Linked DNA regions of Mus musculus. The protein of the gene in region 4 purifies or fractionates together with the protein of the main gene of each other region. This does not show direct contact. Links are inferred from orthologs where the notes say so. Each region holds a gene or a part of one and is shown on either strand. Other genes may lie near its edges. The genes, in order: Sirt1, Ahcyl1, Ube2o and Fgf11.

Region 1 (4,405 bases), on a different chromosome or scaffold from region 4:
AATGGATGTTAACGATATAGCCATCCTATAAATACAATATAATGTATACCATAAAAAATGCACTTATCTGTCCACTTAAAGTAATCCATAGGTCATCACTCATGGAGAATTATACAATATTTCATCACATTTCAGGAAATAATTTTGATAGTATGTATGCCAAACCGACTAACCAAATAAAAGAATTTCAACTAGGGAAGCTATGAACTAATTCTTACTGAACTTGAACATGAACATGCAAAACTCACACACATATGATAATGCAGAGCATTACACATACTTCATGTTATACATAGTTCATATGGATAAAACTGAATTAAAGGTAGGGTCTTATTATGTAGCCCTAGATGGTCCACCTGCCTCTAACTCCAAAGGACTGAGATTAAAGACCTGCACTACCATACCTAACCCTTGGTTTTTTATATTAAGAAGTAATTTTATATAAATGAGTGCTTTGCCTGAAGGTAATATATATGTACCACATGCTTGCTTGGTGCCCAAGGATGACAGAAAGGGGAGTTGGAGAGAAGTGGAGTAATGGATGGTTATGAGCCACCATGTGAGTGGTAGGAACCAAACTCTGATCCTCTGTGCAAGAACAAGTGCTGCTCTCAACGGCCCCCATTTTAACACTTTTAATTATCTGCATGTCTGGGGTAGAGGATGTGGGTGAGTGCAGGTGCCATGAAGTGGAGGCCTGAAGGCCAGCAGCACGTGACTCAACTGGGCCTGGGGATAACTGCAGCTGTAGAGCCTCTGGATACAGATGCTGGAAACTGACCTCTGAAAGGTGCAAGCAGCAGCATGCACACATAACCACTGGCTCGCCTCTCCAGCCTCTGTTGTCTGAGATGACTATGAAGACTTTTTCCAGATTTCCTCCCTGCCCATGTTTGTTAGGTGGTACATAAAAAGGGGGAGTTCTCTGGTGAGGCTTTTAGGGTCTACATATAGAATATCATCCACAAACTAAGGTCACTTTAATTATCCCATCTATCTTTTTTTAATCAAACTAATTTTTTATGCCTTTAATCTGCCCTAAAACACAATTAAAATTTAGGAAAAACATACTTTAGCATGTGTATTCTTTGTGGGTAGCAAAATCTGGGGCCTTGTGCTAAAAATGGTCTACCACTGTGTGCTATTTCACTCTGTAACCCAGGAGAGCCTGGAACTCAAGTGTTTAGCAGAGACTGCCCTTAACTCTTGAGACCCTTCTGCCTCCACCTCCTAAACCCTGGATTAGGGACATAAAAGGGTTAGCTTGTTACGCATTATTGGAGAGCTAAGTTTACTGGAATTCTAGTCCTTATAATCCCCTAAAGAGGAACAAAATGATGCTTGCCCATACACCTACATAAGCAATAAATAACTAAATGTAATTTTAAGAACATGTGGAACTTTCAATTTTAGATATGTATCTGCACTTGACAATCCCGGTAAAATACTGGGGGGGAAAAAAAAAAAGACTAGTTATGACAATGCAGTTTCCCCAACTCACAACATAGAATTTATAAGAAAAGTTGTGGGAATACTAACATATAATCACTAACCAGCTATGCTTGTATAAGATGAAAGTAACTTTTACTTGCTGGCCTTCCTAAATCTGTGTCTACTTATAGTAGACACCATGATACACCAGGGTCCTGCATCCATTAAAACAATCTTTGACTGGTATTCTTTAAACAGTGTAGCAGCACAGCTTCCAATAGTACACCTTAGCTGCAAAGTCTGGCCATCCTCTAATCCCAGCACCAGGATACGGAGACAAGAACTAAAGCACCCTTACAGTTCTGAGACTGTACTGAAGGAAGACAGCCTTTCTAATCCACCTTAGGGCTTACAAGATGGGAGGTGGATTGGGAGATAAGTCTGTTGCCTAATCTGCTGACCTGAGTTCTAATCCAGGAACTCTCGTGTGATGTGGGGGAACCCAACCCCCTAAACTAAGGTAGTGCTGTCACATCCACCGGTGCACTTGGGAGTGCAACACCATTCACCACTCCACCCCTCCACAGATGAAACTTTTAAAGACGTCTCTAAAACATCTCTCTAAATCAGAAAAGCCTTGCATATGTATTTCCAAGTTCCCTAACAGTGAACATAACAGCCAGGCATAGCAGCTCCTGCTCTAATCCCAACAGATGGGAGTTAGACGCAGGAGGCTCAGGAAATTCAAAAGCCATGGCTAAGCAAAATTCAAGACCGGCCTGGCCTACATCAGACTGCCTCAAAACAAAAAACCTTAAGATTAAACTGGAAAAAAAAAACAAAAAAACAAAGAAACAAAACAAATAAAACCTTGCAAAGTTTCTAGTGACTAAAATCTTGAGACAATTTATATAAACTTTATATTCTACAGCAGAGCAGAGCTGCACAGCAGACATAGGAGCCAAGTGTTCAATTTCTTTAGTTCACATGAAAGTGAAATTTTCAAATGCCTAATAAAAAATTGCTACTGCTTTGTTTTTGAAGCTGAGTCTCATGATGTAGCCCTCCCTGGCAGGTCATGAAGTATCCTGTGCCCCTGAAATCCCGGAGCTGCAGGACTTGTATTATTATGCCTGGCTCCTGAACATAGTCCCAAACATAAAAATGTTTGCTTGTTAGTATTTAATAAGTACAATTAGTATATTTCACTTTTCTTTAGCAAAGTATTTAAAATCCTTAAGTAAGCATGCCCTCACTGTGTCATTACACACATTCAATAGCCACATGCAGTCACATGGTGGTGACTGACTTATCAACTAGAAAGACGTCCCTTGTAATGTTTCCCAAAACATGTAATCTCAACCTTGAGTTATTAAAAATCATTTTAGACATATGCATATATTAAGACCTGTCCATTATAAAACATACCACATAGTAGTCATAGAACCTTTATGATTCAGAAAAAAAAGAGTAAGTGAAAACAAGTCTTTCTTTTTTTTTTCAGATCTACAAACTTCCAAAGGAGAGGGCAAGACACACAGGCAAAAGACCAAAATTACATTATTTAAAATCAGTCCTAAACAACTTAAGTTCTAACTACCACACTGGTAGCCTCCAAATCACTGGGCAATGAATGTAAACTTAAAAAGCCTACACGTGAGAACTCTTTATCATAAAGACAAAAACGTGTGATACCTTTGCAAACTTGAAGAATGGTCTTGGGTCTTTTCTAAAATACTCAATATCAAACATGGCTTGAGGGTCTGGGAGGTCTGGGAAGTCCACCGCAAGGCGAGCATAGATACCGTCTCTTGATCTGAAGTCAGGAATCCCACAGGAGACAGAAACCTGAAACAGACAAGACCTAAGTCAACCCATTAACTGTCTACCTTCACAGTAAGTACCTTTACTACATACAATTTAGTGGGAAGAGATGAAAAATCAAAGTTTGAACAGAAACACCACAAGCTTTCTAATTTCAAATACAGGTAAAATACGTAAATAAGTATAATTAAATCTGCCACATACTGCTTTAATGGGCTAATCTTAACCCTTTGAGCATTTAAACAAATTAAAACAAATACAATTGGTTGGAATAAATCTTTTTTTTTTTTTTTTTTTTGGTTTTTCGAGACAGGGTTTCTCTTTATAGCCCTGCCTGTCCTAGAACTCACTTTCTCACTTTGTAGACCAGGCTGGCCTCGAACTCAGAAATCCGCCTGCCCCTGCCTCCCGAGTGCTGGGATTAAAGGTGTGCGCCACCACACCCAGCTCAATTTCATTTTTTAACCAAAAAGTAGGTACAACTTTTTACCAATCATTCCAAACTGACCTCACATAGGCAGCTTTACTACCTCAAGAATACTCAAGTTTTGAAACTTTATTCAATACTGTATTATAGACTGAGCACACTGGTTCATGCTTAAAGTCTCAGATACTCAGGGAGACTGAAGGGCTGTTTGGGCTCTGATTTCCAAGACTACCTGGGGACAATCACAGCAGCAAAATCATTCTCAAAAAAGGGTTTGGGATCTTTGTTATGTTGTCCAGGAGTTAGAACTACCTTACACATATCACAGCAAAGTTTGTTGGGTTTGTTTGGTTTTTTTTTTTTTCAGAAGCCATTAGGCTTTATTATTTTATATGAACATAGGGAAGCCTACATGTATATGTGTTCTACACAGGTGCCTGGTGTCCACGGAGGTCAGAATGCATCAATCATGCAGTTGTGAATTGCCATATGGGTACTGGGAACTGAATCTGGGCCCCTGGCCTTATAGTAAGACCTCTTAAATTCTAAGTCATCTCTCTAGCCCAAGAATGAATCATTTACTTACTTATTAATAGCTTAATTTTTGTCTTTTGTTTGACATGGTCTCACTACAAACACACAAACACAAACACAAACACACACACACACCTACCTGCCTCTAGAACTAGTGGCATGGGCCACCTCGATTCTCATTGAGATAGT
Region 2 (4,405 bases), on a different chromosome or scaffold from region 4:
ATAGTAAATGATGAGCTATAGTGAACTACAGACTGGCTTCTGCCGGGCCCCACGAGTCTACACAGCAAGAGAAAATGCCAAGAGGCCCCATAAATGGCTTCGAGTGAAGGGAACAAAGCACCTTACTCTTCCCCGGGAGACTTCTCCACAAACAGTAAAGTGAGTCATCAGCCACCGGCTCTCAGAAATACAAGGCGTGGACCTCAAACCTAAGAGTGGTACCAGCACTCTGTCCTTACCAGGCCTGCAGAGCACAGATGGGGTCAATTTCTGTTATGTAGACAATTGCTCCAAGGGCCTTGAGAGCAGCACAGCAGCCCTTTCCTACCTGCAGAATATAGGAAAGCCCAAGTTGCCAGATCTAAGAAGATACGATCATTGGGGGAGACAAGCTTTTGAGGAGATAGGAATTAGCCTCTTTAAATCAGCATCATCCAGTGAACACTCCAGTCCCAGCTGGAGCAGAAAGAAACCCAAACTAGGCTGTAAACTTCAATTAGAGATAATTTAGCAGACAAGTCACAACAAGAGGTGGGGAGAGGGAGGCTCTGCGTAATTGTTACCATTATGAAAACAAGTTCAAACAAGAACAAATGATTTATTCCATAAAAACCTGGCAAAACTCACTTCCAATGTGTCTACTGAATACCTAGCAGCCCAAGGACTTCAGTGGACCACTGCTGAAGACAATGACACTCCCTAGGACCTAGTCCAGTTTAAAGATACTCGACTATAATGTCACTTCAGTTTCTACGATGCAAGCCATAAGATGGGGATAAAATGTTACTTATTCACTTAACTTTTATTTCATAAAAGGCTTTAAGTGGGAGGCAGTAATGCTGACATCAATCAATAAGATAAACTGCTAAAATATGAAAATTCAGTACACTCTGCCTTTAACTCACAAATATGAAAAGGACTTTCCCACTGTTTTCAAGCACAGCATGGAAAAACATTCATCAGTGTTCCTAGACTGTCTCCATCCCATGTTTCTCTAAAGCCTTCTAATAAGACAGAGATATGGGCCCAACTATTTACCTCACCATAGCCACACACCACCACCTGTTTCCCACCAAACATCACATCCGTGGTCCTCTTCAGGCTGTGGAAACAGACAAGGGCTCATCTCAAACATCATTTACAACTCAGTCCCTTTGTACCAAATTCAAGTGTAGGGCAGTGCCCAGGAGAAATTCAATGGAAAGCTGGCTGAGATCACTGTGAAGTGGGCTCCTTTAATAACATGTAAAGGAGGGAGACTACAAGGGCAAGCTATAGGTACCAAACTGATACGTCAAACAAATCCCACTACTAGTCCCTGCAAATCTGAAGGTATACATTTCAACATACCCATCCAAAATGGATTCTCGGCAGCAGTACAGGTTATCAAACTTCTGTTTGGTAACAGAATCATTGACATTCATGGCTGGAACACAGAGCTTCCCAGCTTTGGAGAGCTGATACAGCCTAAAAGGGAGAAGAAGCCACAAAACAAACACACAACTAGTTAGGTTATAAACAATAAATAGCAAGTCTGCTTCTGTCTCTTCAAGCTCCATGCTGCCCTCCTTAGTCTTATTTATGCCCAGAAGTTCTTTGGAAACGTGACTAGTCTCTTGTCCTCAACTCATTTCCTTCTATTTTATCCTTTAATTTTAAACGAAAAATAAAAAACTTTTCAGTTGAAGCAATTTACTGCTCTTCTGCAAAGGGAGCATTGTAACCTTAGGGCAGCACTGTTCTGACTTTAAATACTCATGTTTACTTCAGGTAAACAAAGACAGCAACGGTTCTGATGTGGTTTACTGTGTCTGTGAGAGCAACCACGCACACTGTGCCCGCAGAGCAATAGTCCTAGATACCATTTAGTTACTTCCTCCAAGCCAGGAGTCTATCTCCAGTTTTACTTTCTGTTGCATCACCTGTAGTTTTTCAATAGACTTTTCCCTCCATATTTAAAATATAAAAATTATAATACAACATTGAGCACAAGTTTTCCAAGACACATTCCTCTCTACACCCTTACCCCCAAATACTGTTAATTAGTTACTCAGTGGAGCAAATGGGAGAGATTAAAAACATGTCAATTAGAATTTTAAAAAAATTCCTTCAAAATTCCTTTTATGGTCACTTTGATTTTGCAAAAGTAAAAACTCGGTTTTATCTAATGAAGACACTCCCACTTGGTTATTTTAAGTCTGAAACACAGCCCTAAAGTCTAGGAGAGACCAGAAGAATTTGATGAGGCAAGGACACAAGGGGCAGCTACTCCAGAATCTGTTACCTGTGAACACCAGTCACGCTCTCTTCCACAATGCCTCGGATCTTCTTAAACACGTTTGGATACTTCTTATAAACCCAGTGGGTTAAGTCTCCCCCATCATCCAGGATCTACAGAACAGCCAGAAGACTTCTATGGGCATTCAGGCTGCTAGAGCTAGGGGGAACTTTGAGCCCATTTTCTACACTAGTGAGAGAGCCCTGGATATTTTGAAAGAGCACTTCTTAACGCTCTGCAGAATAGGCTTAGACAGTAAAAATATAGTTAAATCTGTTGGTGTAAAATGGTTAAAAGAAATCCTAAATGAGTTCTAGGCTACAGTGGAAAGCTCTTTTTTGAGACTGGAACTTACTATGTTGCTCAGGCTAGTCTAAAATTCCTGAGCTCAAGGACTCCTCCTGTTTCAGCCTCTCAAATGCTGGGCTTATAGGCATTTGGTCATGCCCAGCTACAGTAAATAAGTATTACAAGTCGTGGGCTCATTTTCAGTCTAGTTGAAATATATGGCTCCTTTGAATGCAAAAGGAGAAGTGGAGTGGGAAGAAAAGAAATAAGACTCCTACTCCAAAGAGGGACCACATCATTTCCTTCTGTTTATTCTGCTGTGTTTGAGTCATGTGTCCATCTCAGCTTACCCTTCCCCCACCTTCCTATTCACTTCTCAGACCTTGCTTTCATTTCTTTTCTTTTCTTTCCATCCTTCCTTTCTTTCTTATTGGTGCTGGATATTGAATCCAGGGCCTTGTGCATCTTAGATCCATACCGAGTAGGTATTGTGTTATGAACACTTTAGCAATATAGCCAGTAATAAGACCAAACACAAAGAAATATATTTAGGGAACCATGATTTAAGGGAGAAAAGGAAATAAATCCATAGTAAAACTATGGAGTAGACATGAATGATTACCATGTTAGCCTGCCACCCATCCATGTTGACACAGCGGTCAATGCACCACCAGAAATCATCTTCTGACTCGCCCTTCCAAGCAAACACCGCGACTCCTACGGAGACAGAAATACATCAATTAATGTTGCTTCTGATGTACCAACTTCTGAGATCCATATGAAGAATGAAAGGGAAAAGAAACAATTCCGAAGAGGGAAAACTTAAAGAATAAAAGTCAAAATAGTACTTTTTAGTTCAGAAATTACTTCAGTTAAGAAATTAAGAGATTTCTATATTAAAAAATATCTTGGAGTCATAAAATATTGCTGTCTTTTAGGTCAATTTTATACTTTATACTGCATCTTAAGGAGGCAAAATGAAGTATGTAAAAACAAAGTTCCTAGAGCACTCTTAGGAACACCAATACTAGACACTCTAGATACCAACAGATGTCTCAGAATAATTTAAACATGCGATTTTAGGAAAATGAAGAAGTAAAATCATGTGGCCATATGAATGAATGATGTGGTCACTTTTCAGTGACACGATAAATTACTTCTCAAAATGGAATGTTTCGGTTATAAAAAAATGTGTATATACTAAAATTTGGTTTACCAATATATAAAGAGAAGCTTGTCAAATCTTTGTTTTTTTTTTAAATTTCTTAAATCTTCTACAATAAACAGCTATTAGAAATGAATTAAACAAAGTCTATTCTGTAACTTTCTCAAGATCTTAGAAGGTGTAAGGTGATGTGCTTTTGAACTTTTTTTTTTTTTGGAGACAGGGTTTCTCTGTATAGCCCTGGCTGTCCTGGAACTCACTTTGTAGACCAGGCTGGCCTTGAACTCAGAAATCCACCTGCCTCTGCCTCCCAAGTGCTGGGATTAAAGGCGTGCGCCACCACCGCCCGGTGCTTTTGAACATTTTGACAATAAAAATTATTTTATTTTTAATTAAAACTTATAGCACATATATTTTAGTATACTCCAAATTGCAAATAATCCATTAACTATCAATATAAAAGACACTACCTACAGTGTTCTCTCAAAATTGATTAAGACTTTTGGGGAGAAGAGACCAGCTGAGCTCACATTTACTATTCTGCCTTCATTCATTTAACATTAGAATTGAGTATTTCCTTAGGTGTTTGTGGTTTTTGTTTTAAAGTATACCTCGGTTTTAGTATACATTTCTTCCTGTTCTCTTCACCCCTGTCATGATAATGGGGATCGAAT
Region 3 (4,405 bases), about 47 Mb from region 4:
ATCTTGCACCTACAGCTCAGCCTCTGCCACAGGACAGGAGCCCCAGCTCAACCTAAGTGCCTGCCATTATTAAGACATGCACAACAGAGCACTGGCCCTCAGAGACTCCTGAGCTGTAGCAGCAGAGACAAGAGTTACCACTGAGCTCCGGATGCTGAATGCCAGCATCACCGTTACTGTCCTGGACCACACCCGACCTCACAGACCTGGAACAACTCTCCTGGACTGTAGAGCAGGCAGCTGTCCCTAAGATGACACCTACCTGGCACCATTAGACAACTTGAGGATGATCTGGTTCTTCAAGTCATAGACCTTCCCCAGCCAGCAGTCATAGGCGATATAGTCTCCATACATGAAGGGCTGCAGATCAAGGACACAGAGCAGTGAGCGAGGGCAGACACCACGGAGCCTGGGATCTTCTACACCCCATTGGGATGTAAAAGGCTCTAGACAACGTATCTGCACTGCATCCCAAGTCCCTTTCCACCGAGCAGGCAGGAGCAGCCTATGGCTGCCTCGTGGGTGGGAGTGTCCACAGCGGCAGAGGACAGCACTAGGAGGCTGGCATGGGTGGGGGTGGGCTTTGTGGATAGGTAAAGACCATGAATCAAGGGGGACCCACTGGGAACACTGAGCGCAGTGTTGTCACTGTTGAAAACTGTTGGGCAGACAGAAGCCATCCCTGAGGAGCTTCCTCACGACAACTGAAGCAGAATGGGATGTGAGTACTGAGTGATGAGAGGGCTGAGCTGATGAATGAAACACAACTCTCGAGTGCACCTCATAGAAAACGAATGAGCAAAGAAACAGGGCAGTAGGCACAGCTCTGTAGGCACACACAAGAATGCCAACCAATAGAAATGCGGGGGCAGTGACTTGAGGAAGACACCACCTGCGACTGTCAGAGCCGTGGCCTGTTTACATGGCAATGCTCCCAAGACTAAGGCTTGCAGGTCTGACACGGACATTTGTGATGTGTGAGATATAATAGCTTACTGGGGGTAAAGGATGAGTTTACAGTGGTGAGGGCTGTGAAGACCAACATGACCTGTGCGCAGAGTGAGCATCTCCAGCGGCAGAGTAGCACTGGACATAAAAAAAGCTAGCTGCACAGCCAGAGGCATCCTGGGAGTGAGTCTGTCCACGAGACATCATCATGCATGAGCTTTTGCAGCACCATTGTCCGGGGTGTACAACAACATCCCAGATGGGAAAGAAAAAGAACTGACAGGCAAACGCCAGGCGGATGGGCTCAGGGCCAGAGGGAAAGGACAGCGAGCAGTCTGAGGCTCAGGCAGTATGGTCACCACTTACTCCCCCGTCTACGGGCTATATCCAAATTTTGGAAAGCACAAAATGTAGTAGTGAGCAGGGGTGCTGGGGGCTGTATGTGTAGCTTGCTTTCAGATAGTTCAGGAGATGAAGATGACCGGGGTCAATGGGAGGTCAGCAGCTGCACACACTGGAGAGTGGGCACACAGACTTAGCACTTCTGGGTAAGTTTAAAGTCCTTTACAAAAGAAATGATTAAAAAGAACTCTGTTTTGCTGTTACTTTTATGTGTATGAGTACTTTGCTGCATGTGTGTTTGTGAGCCATGTGTGTGCCTGGTGTTCTCAGAAGTCAAGGACAGAGCTGGGTCCTCGGGATCTGTGTCTTTAACAAGAGTAGTAAGTAGTCTTGCCCGTGGGACCATCTCTCCAGCCTTCTTGGATGGAGATAGAGAGACGGCTCAGCAGTTAAAGAGTACTGCCTGCTCTTGCTGAGGACCTGGGTCCATTCCCAGCACCCTCACAGAGGCTCACAACTCCATTATTCCAGTTCCAAGGTATCCAACTCCCACTTCTGGTATCAGACATGCAAGTAGTACACACAGACTATATTCCTGCAAAATACCCACATACAACAAACAAACAAACAAACAAACATCCGTGTCTGTGGTCAATGAGAAACAAGTAATGTGACCACATTTGTCATGATCTATCCTGATGCCCGCGGCAGAGCACACTCTGACCTCCTGTCTAGTAGCGCACAGGCAAGGGCAACACGGAGCCTGCCTGGAGCAGGCTGGCCACAGTGACCAAGCACCGAGCATCGGCCCCATTAAGACTACACTTGCCAGGAGCAGCAGCAGCAGCACAGAGGCCACACAGCCACTCACCCAGATGTGCTGGAGGTCCTTGCTGTTGACAGGGTAGATGATGCAGTTGGTGCCGATGAGCTTGACGGCACAGTCAATGTTGACATCTATCACCGTGCCACACTGGCTGTCCTAGAGGAGGAAGGAAAACATCCCACAGGTTGCCATAGGAGACCCCACCAAGACACACCCTATATTCTCCACTCCTCCAACCAAGATCTCTTCCAAATTAGAGTGGGAGCACACAGGCTCAAGTGCAGGGCGGGATGGGGATGAGGGACTCACAGTTGAGCGCATGTGTCGAACCACATCCCGGGGCACCACAGAGCGGTCCTCCAGTTTCAGCTGTGAAAAAAACATGAATGAGAGGCCTGGAAACAGACATCTGAGGTGGAACGCATTCCACCCAGGTACATCCCACCAAAGGCAGACAAAGGATGGTTTTATCTGTAGCCCCCCACCCCCACACCCACCAGCATACACACTGGAGATAGTCTTGTGCACTGGGAAGCATAGTCACACCACACAAGGTTAGCTCATCCTACAAAAACCAACATTATGATGAGTCAAATCCTTCTCTGAGGGTCTACCCTCTGACCTTGGCTCATGGGTGCTCAGGAGTGGTTGGAGGACTGGCATGGCACTGAAGCCAGCTGTCACTAGACACAACCCTTCTAATCTGGCTATTCTGCCTGCCCAGCTGCATCCTGCTCCTTATCTGTGGCAGTGCAGACCCTGTCCTGACCCAACTGAACCCCCAGAACTGCCACCTCCTGCTGCTGGGCGGCCTCTGTGGCCCAGAAAGAGCTGCTTCTCTGCTAGGCTGTTTTGTCTTCTCTGTTCTTGTATCTCCAAATCGGGATTGTTCTGTCATTCTTGGACAACCTGTAAGTGGTTGCTACATCTCTCTCCCCTGCTCAGAGACGGACAGGCACACACCAGGAAGGGCTCTCCCCGACTCTCCCCGACTCTCAGTAACCTCAGCCGGCCTCTCTGCTGCGAAAGGTGACTGGCAGAGAGAGGAGCAGGACAGAAGTGCTGAAAAGCAAGTACAAGGTCACTGAAGCTTTGCTAAGGACAACCCACACAAGCTCTAGGTAGGCTGTACACCGCTAAGCAGGAAACATAAACTGCCACAGGGACCCAGGACCTGTTCCACAGACAACACTGTGACTGGTGTCAGCCTGCTGCTTCCAAGTACACATGGTATCTCAGCAGCCAACTCTGGGACCCATGACAGGATTGAAGCCACAAAGAAAGCATTGGCGCCTGCGTGCACGCACACAGGCACATACAGCCACTACATCCATACTTGCTTGACTCCCTGTCCACAGGGACACAGGCTGAGGTCCAGAAAGGCTAGCTTCAAGGCACTGAAGGGAAGGTGGAGAGGCCAGCTCCCTTTTCTAGTAATGTGAAGACACTTTGTGCCTGCCCCACCCTCAGCTTCACCTCAACTGCCTTCTTAGCTTAGACGTCAAACCACCACCAATTAGGGGGCCTAAGTCATCGCAGAAAGCAGAGAGTAGCGCGGCCTTGACGAGAGCCTTGAGCTGCGTCTGCACACAACCCGATGGCCTCTGTCAGGTCCAGGTACTGCCAGGGGAGGGGGGAGGATCCACATGGACAGCCTGATCAGAACAAGCTCATACAGGACGTGTGAAATGGAGGTAAAAAGAAGATTGCCAAAAACTCCAAGATCAAGTTCTTTATGAACGTTTATAACTGTAACCACCTCATGCCTACAGGTGCTCTGGATAGCCTCTCAGAGGGAACGGTTGTCAAGAAGGATGTCTTTAGAGACTCAGCTCTGAAACGCAAGGCTGGGGAGGCCAAGGTCAGTTGGAAGAACAATACAAGACAGGAGAGAACAAATGGTTTTTCCACAAGCTATGCTTTTAGGTATATTTTTGTTTCTTATCATTAAAAATTAAAAAGAAAAAAAAAAGTTCAGCAACTCCGAGTTTACCAGCCAGTTGTAAACTAGCATTTCCTGGAAAGCATCGGTGAACCTAAGTTTTGGAATAGCAGGAAAGAAGCTATTCCAAAATAGCCTGGGGGGAAGTCATGGGCTACGTGAAATAAACACTGGTCATGTAATGGCATGGAACAGGGCAAGAGGCAGTCTCTGTTGCCTCCTCTGAAAACAACCCAGGGCCAGACTGTGGAGGAGGGGAGCTCAGACAACACTGATGGCGTCTAAGCTCAGACAACACTAGCCTCTGCTCTGCCTGGCTCCAGCCCCAGTTCTAGGGCAGACGCAGG
Region 4 (5,043 bases):
GAGTGAACTCTAGAGGGGGAGTTCTGGACTAGGCCCTAGACAAGCCAAAACAGGAAGGACAGAGTCCTGGGTGTAAGCCATGTGTGTAGCAAAGGATGATTATGTGCTGAGGGTGTCCCCAGTCGTCCAGGCCACTCAGCCTCATTGTCCTCTTACCGAGCTGTACAATAGCCCCTCAGCGTTCATGGCCATGTAGTGACCCAGCTTGGCACTCTGGATGGTGACCACACGGAGTCCCACAGGAATCAGATTGAAGTGGGCTGGGGTGGGGGTGGGGGAGTGGAAAGCAAGCAGTCAATACCCAAGTACCTCATTTCCATCTGAGCCCCGCCCCCCAACTCCAGCCTCACTGCCTCCCTTGGGGCCCAAGAAGACAAATGGAAGGCAGCCAAGCCTGAAGAGGTGATAGGCTTGTCATCTCCTGTCCCCATCTCCCCACTGCCCACCCTGCAGCTGGTGTCCCTTCTCACTGAAGGAGCTGGTGTCCTCTGGGGTGCCCTGGATACTCCCATCGGGATTCGCCTGGAGGTAGAAACCCTGGCGGCAGAACAGTTTGGTGACGATGCCTTTGAGCTGAGGCTCTGGAGAGAGAGACATTTATCTTTGAAAATGACATCTCTGTTCCCAGAAACATTCCTACACTTGGCGGGATCACAGGAAAGAAGAAAGGGGAAATGAAGAGAAGAGGGTTCCAGGGCCCCAGCTCCTTTACCCTTCAAGCAAGCTTCCCTCCACCTCGCTTTGATTCCTGAGGAAGCTGGGGTGTGGGTCCCTTCCGCTTTCTCTAATCATGAGCGTCAGCTTAATTTATTGAAATTTATTTAAATGGTTTAATTCCTTTTCCCTACCAGAGTTGGGGGCGGGGAGGAGGTAGAAGAGAGAGAGAGAGAGAGAGAGAGAGAGAGAGAGAGAGAGAGAGAGAGAGAGAGAGAGAAACGGACAGTGCCAGAAACGCAGGGCAATGTGTTTGCAAATGTCGGGGTGAGCAGCAAGGTGACCACAGGGAAGGGGCTCCCCCTCAGAAGTAGGGGTGGGACTGGGCTTGACTGACGCTGACTCAGCACCTGCTGCTGCAGCTGCCGCTCGCTTGGCGCGGGCCTTGCTCTGGCACAGCGCCGGCCTGTCTGACACTGACCCATCTGTCTGTCTGTCTGTCAGTCAGTCGGCTGGCTCACGAGGGTCCAGTTTTCCCTGAGACTGAGCTTCTACCCTTCAGCCAGGTAACTGGCCTGGGATGGGGGACATTTAAACCACATCAAGGAAAAGGAAGAGGGGACAGAGATGGAGAGGCAGGCTGCATCACGTGGGGGCTGGGTCCCACTCAGAGGGTGGGCTGCGGACTGTACCACTACCTACCGTTGGTGGTGGGGGAGGAGGGCACAAGGGGCTACCCCTAAGGGAACCGGCAGCGGCCTGGAGCGAGGCCAGAGGGACTCCCTAACTGTCGTACCTGGACGGGAATCACATACCAGCCCTTACATCTCTCCTCTCCTGGTGGGGCTTGCTCTCTGCCGATTTCCCTGTTCCCCCTTGTAAGTGGTACGACCCCCCGCTTAAGTCCCTGTGCAGGTCTTCAGCTTGAACTATGTGTGAGTTCCTACTGGCTGAGGGTCCCCGGAGCCTGTGGGACTGGATTTCCGAGTCACACAGGAGTAATGGGAGGGGGTGCCCAGCACCCTTCTCGAAGCGCAGGTCACAGAAGGAGGGCGTACGGAGGGGGCTGACTGACGAGGTAGCCTGCAAGGACACCCGGGGGAGAGCTGGAGAGATTGGCTCCTGGCCAGGCGAGCTCGACCAGGAAGAACAGAGCCAAAGCGTGGAGGGGCGGGAGAGCCGGAGCGGGGGCGGGGCAGCCAGGGCTGCAGAAACCCTCGGGGTGACCCAAGCGTCCAGAACCCCTCAAGCCCCGCCACTTCGGATGGAAAGAATCGCGAGAACCCGCACGTAGGCGAAGAACCGTGGGGGGTGGGGAGTCCTGTGCTGAAGGGGGGCTGACAGGAGCAGAGAAGCTTGGGGCGCCAGACTTCGCCCCTCAAACCTTCCCCCTGCCCTCGAAAGCAAGGAGACTCGGCATTACAGGCAAAGAGGAAGAACCTGAAGGATAGTCCCGTAAATTCTGTCGTTCTGGCCCACCTCTTCCACTTCTGGGACACCCCCCTCCTCATCGGGCTTCAATCGTCAGGGTCCCTGGCCTCAGGCAGGACTTCTGTGGGAGACCCCGCCCTAGCCACACTCACCTGGGCCGCGGTCCTGTCGCGTGGGACGCCCCCCGCACAGTCGCACCTTGGACAGCAGGATGAGGAGCTGTTTCTGGCAAAGTGACTTGGTACCGCGGGGACACACGCGCCGCTGCGCCGACACGGGCCGGCTGCCCCCGGGCTCGCGGACCTCCCGCTTCTGTCGGATCAGGCTACTGGCCAACGCCGCCATCGCGCCCCGGGAGGAGACACCCCCAAACCAGCAGGCTCCCGGAGCGCCCTGGGCTCCCCAAGAGGAGCCCTCTCACCAGGGCATGCTCAGGACCCAACCCACCGCCCCACCCACAGGATCTGAAGAGAAACCCCAGACCCCAGTACGTTCCCCAACACCACCGGCTCCCACCCTTGGGCCCTGACTAGCTCCAGCGGCTCCAGCAGCCTATGCACTCCTCAGCTGACCTCACCCATGAATTCTGTCCCCTAATGAAAGCTTTCCCCTTCCCTCCTCTCTGGCCTCTGTACCAGATAGAAGATACCTCCTCTATCCCACAGTCAAGACCCTCCTATATTTCTAAGATGTGTTCTCAATACCCCGAGGCTTCTTTCTACCCTATTTTGGGGCCGCTCCTGCCCAGCCTACTCTTACACAGGGTGTGGGTCCTAAGCTTTGTGGACATTAGCTCACCCTAGGCTGCTGTCAATGTCAAGAGGAGCCCAGCTCTGTTTTCTTTTTTCCTTTTCTATACTCTAAATGGAGTGGGTCTCCCACTTTCTTCAAATCCCCCCTCTGCCAGCAAATATGACTCAAAATTCAGGCTGTTTAGGTTCAGTGAAAAGGGGTTCCCAGGCCCCCTGGCTGGATAATGCTTTTTCTCATTGTCACCCCCATTTCTAGTACCACAGAGTCCCAGCTGCTAACACCATTCCCTCACCTTGCTACCCTCCACTCCTTTTGAAGTCACCTCCAAATCAACCCTTCTTAGTGCAGACACCAGGTGGTTGTCTGCAGGACCCTCTGTCGCCCCGAAAAAAGGAGCATCCGCCGTTTCTGTCTGTTTTCTAGTTGCCCCTTAAATTTCCCGAGGAACAACTGGCACTGCTTAGATCCCACACCCTCCAATCTAACAAGGCCCCCAAGAGAGGAGTGCACCCACGTTGTCAACACTCCTCAAACGTGAACAGGCCCTTAATAAGTCACAGCGCATCAGAGCTTCCTGCGCCAGGGCTTTCTCGTCCTCCCTGGGACTGCTATAACACCCCTTCCTTTCCCCGACGCCCCTCAACCTGTCCTGTCCTGTTGATCCGGGCGACGGGTGCCGCGAGCTCCAGCTCCAGGCTCCTCCCTCCCTGTCACCCGCAAGCGGAGGTTTCCCCCCAACGTCGGCCTAAGCGTCCCGGACCCCCAGGAAGGAGTAAGGATGTCTCTGCAGAGCGCCTCGGTTCGGCAAAGTCAGAGCACTGGGCCTGGAGGTTGGACCAGGCAGAGCGGCGGAGGCAGCGGCAGCGGCTGTGGGAAGCTGAGGCGGCGGCGGCGACAGAGGCTCCCCCTCCTCTGCGAGCCGGCCTGGGGGCGGGGCAGGGGGCGGAGACGCTGGGAGAAGCTGGGCGGGCGGAACCCTGGGGTTCCTTGGAAGCTCTAAGTGGGAACTGTCACAGAGGCAGGCGGAGTAGAGGCAAGGCCTGCAAATCTCGGGGTTCAGAGGAGAGGAGACACGGAGCCTGATATGGCGGGGCTGGGGGCAGGGGGTCGATGGAATAGCCGACAGAGAGAAAATGAAAAGGGATTCTACTGCCTGGGATGGAAGTGAGGACAGAAATGGACGAGGAGAGTTGGGGGGAAAGTGGAGAAACCGGTAGCTGTGCCATCCAGTCTGGGCTGTGATCCGGCCTTAATATCTCTGGTTTGGTATGAGCCAATTGATCAGAACTAGGTTTCCAAAAACCAGTTCCTTCCCGCATTTTGTCAGTAAATACATTCCTACTATCCCTGTCAGACTCTGAAAGAATAGGGGAGAGAGGTTCCGGGAGGCAGTACCGGGACAGAAGGGGCGCCAGCCAGATTTAGAGAACTTGGGCCTCAGGCAGGGTAGAATACTGGGGAAACCTTTTAGAAAAGGGACTTTGGACCCAAGCATACACTGTCTGTATGGAGGGAGCAGCAGTCCCCTGCATGACCCTCTCACCAAAGGAAACACTTTCCATTCCCTTAGGAGTAAAATCTTTAATGGGTCCCGCCCCCTACGCCCGCTAAACCGCCCCCTTTGCGGGCAACCTTGGCTTCCTCTACAGCCTCACGCAAGGCCTGTGCAGGGTCCCCGCGGAGCTGGGCCAATGCCCCGCGCAGAGCAGCGGAGCCGTCTCCCACACGGAGCTTTCGGCCGCTCAAAAAATAATGAGGCAGCGCCCCGGCCTCTAGCACTCGGCTCAGCTCATCCAGTAGCCCAAGGCAACAAGCGCCGGCATTTTCCGGCCGCGCCAAGTAGAGCGCCGGGAGCCGCTCGCACGCCCAGTAGAGCAAGGTCCGCAGGAGGTAGGGCGCAGCGGCTCGGGTCCCCGCCACCAGCGGGCGCAGCAGCGCCTGGGCCGCCGCGTGTGCCTGAAGCAGCGGCGTGGGGATGCGCTCTTTGAGCGCCAGCTCCTGGCGAGCGAAGCACAGCTGCCATCCAGAGGTGCTCGGCTGCTCTGGGAGGCTGCCCGGCACTAGGTAGAAAGAGGCCGATTCAGAGACCAGTGGACCCGCCCACGAGTGGCTCCGAGCCGTGTCAGGCCAGCCTGTCACGGTCACCACCGGGATCAAGTCGAAGAGCAGGAGGTGGCGTGGGGGCTCTGGAGTTGCCAGGAGGAC

Evidence for each region.
Region 1: the proteins of Fgf11 (region 4) and Sirt1 purify together in Homo sapiens (affinity purification with mass spectrometry; 3 studies listed by BioGRID and IntAct, with this or other methods). This does not show direct contact. The link is inferred for Mus musculus from reciprocal best matches to the Homo sapiens genes FGF11 and SIRT1.
Region 2: the proteins of Fgf11 (region 4) and Ahcyl1 purify together in Homo sapiens (affinity purification with mass spectrometry; 3 studies listed by BioGRID and IntAct, with this or other methods). This does not show direct contact. The link is inferred for Mus musculus from reciprocal best matches to the Homo sapiens genes FGF11 and AHCYL1.
Region 3: the proteins of Fgf11 (region 4) and Ube2o purify together in Homo sapiens (affinity purification with mass spectrometry; 3 studies listed by BioGRID and IntAct, with this or other methods). This does not show direct contact. The link is inferred for Mus musculus from reciprocal best matches to the Homo sapiens genes FGF11 and UBE2O.

What each region holds. Positions count from the first base shown.
Region 1 is NC_000076.6:63,328,619-63,333,023, forward strand, and holds part of Sirt1 (NAD-dependent protein deacetylase sirtuin-1), read right to left. Parts: intron 3,280-4,405; coding exon 3,127-3,279; intron 1-3,126. UniProt on the Homo sapiens protein: NAD-dependent protein deacetylase that links transcriptional regulation directly to intracellular energetics and participates in the coordination of several separated cellular functions such as cell cycle, response to DNA damage, metabolism, apoptosis and autophagy.
Region 2 is NC_000069.6:107,668,854-107,673,258, forward strand, and holds part of Ahcyl1 (S-adenosylhomocysteine hydrolase-like protein 1), read right to left. Parts: intron 3,284-4,405; coding exon 3,189-3,283; intron 2,392-3,188; coding exon 2,285-2,391; intron 1,468-2,284; coding exon 1,351-1,467; intron 1,103-1,350; coding exon 1,039-1,102; intron 329-1,038; coding exon 240-328; intron 1-239. UniProt on the Homo sapiens protein: Multifaceted cellular regulator which coordinates several essential cellular functions including regulation of epithelial HCO3(-) and fluid secretion, mRNA processing and DNA replication.
Region 3 is NC_000077.6:116,546,609-116,551,013, forward strand, and holds part of Ube2o ((E3-independent) E2 ubiquitin-conjugating enzyme UBE2O), read right to left. Parts: intron 2,486-4,405; coding exon 2,426-2,485; intron 2,273-2,425; coding exon 2,162-2,272; intron 361-2,161; coding exon 263-360; intron 1-262. UniProt on the Homo sapiens protein: E2/E3 hybrid ubiquitin-protein ligase that displays both E2 and E3 ligase activities and mediates monoubiquitination of target proteins. Negatively regulates TRAF6-mediated NF-kappa-B activation independently of its E2 activity.
Region 4 is NC_000077.6:69,799,196-69,804,238, forward strand, and holds the start of Fgf11 (fibroblast growth factor 11), read right to left. Parts: upstream 3,086-5,043; 5' UTR 2,431-3,085; coding exon 2,238-2,430; intron 582-2,237; coding exon 471-581; coding exon of another isoform or gene 447-470; intron 261-446; coding exon 157-260; intron 1-156. Other genes in the region: Tmem102 (transmembrane protein 102), read right to left, coding at 4,420-5,043.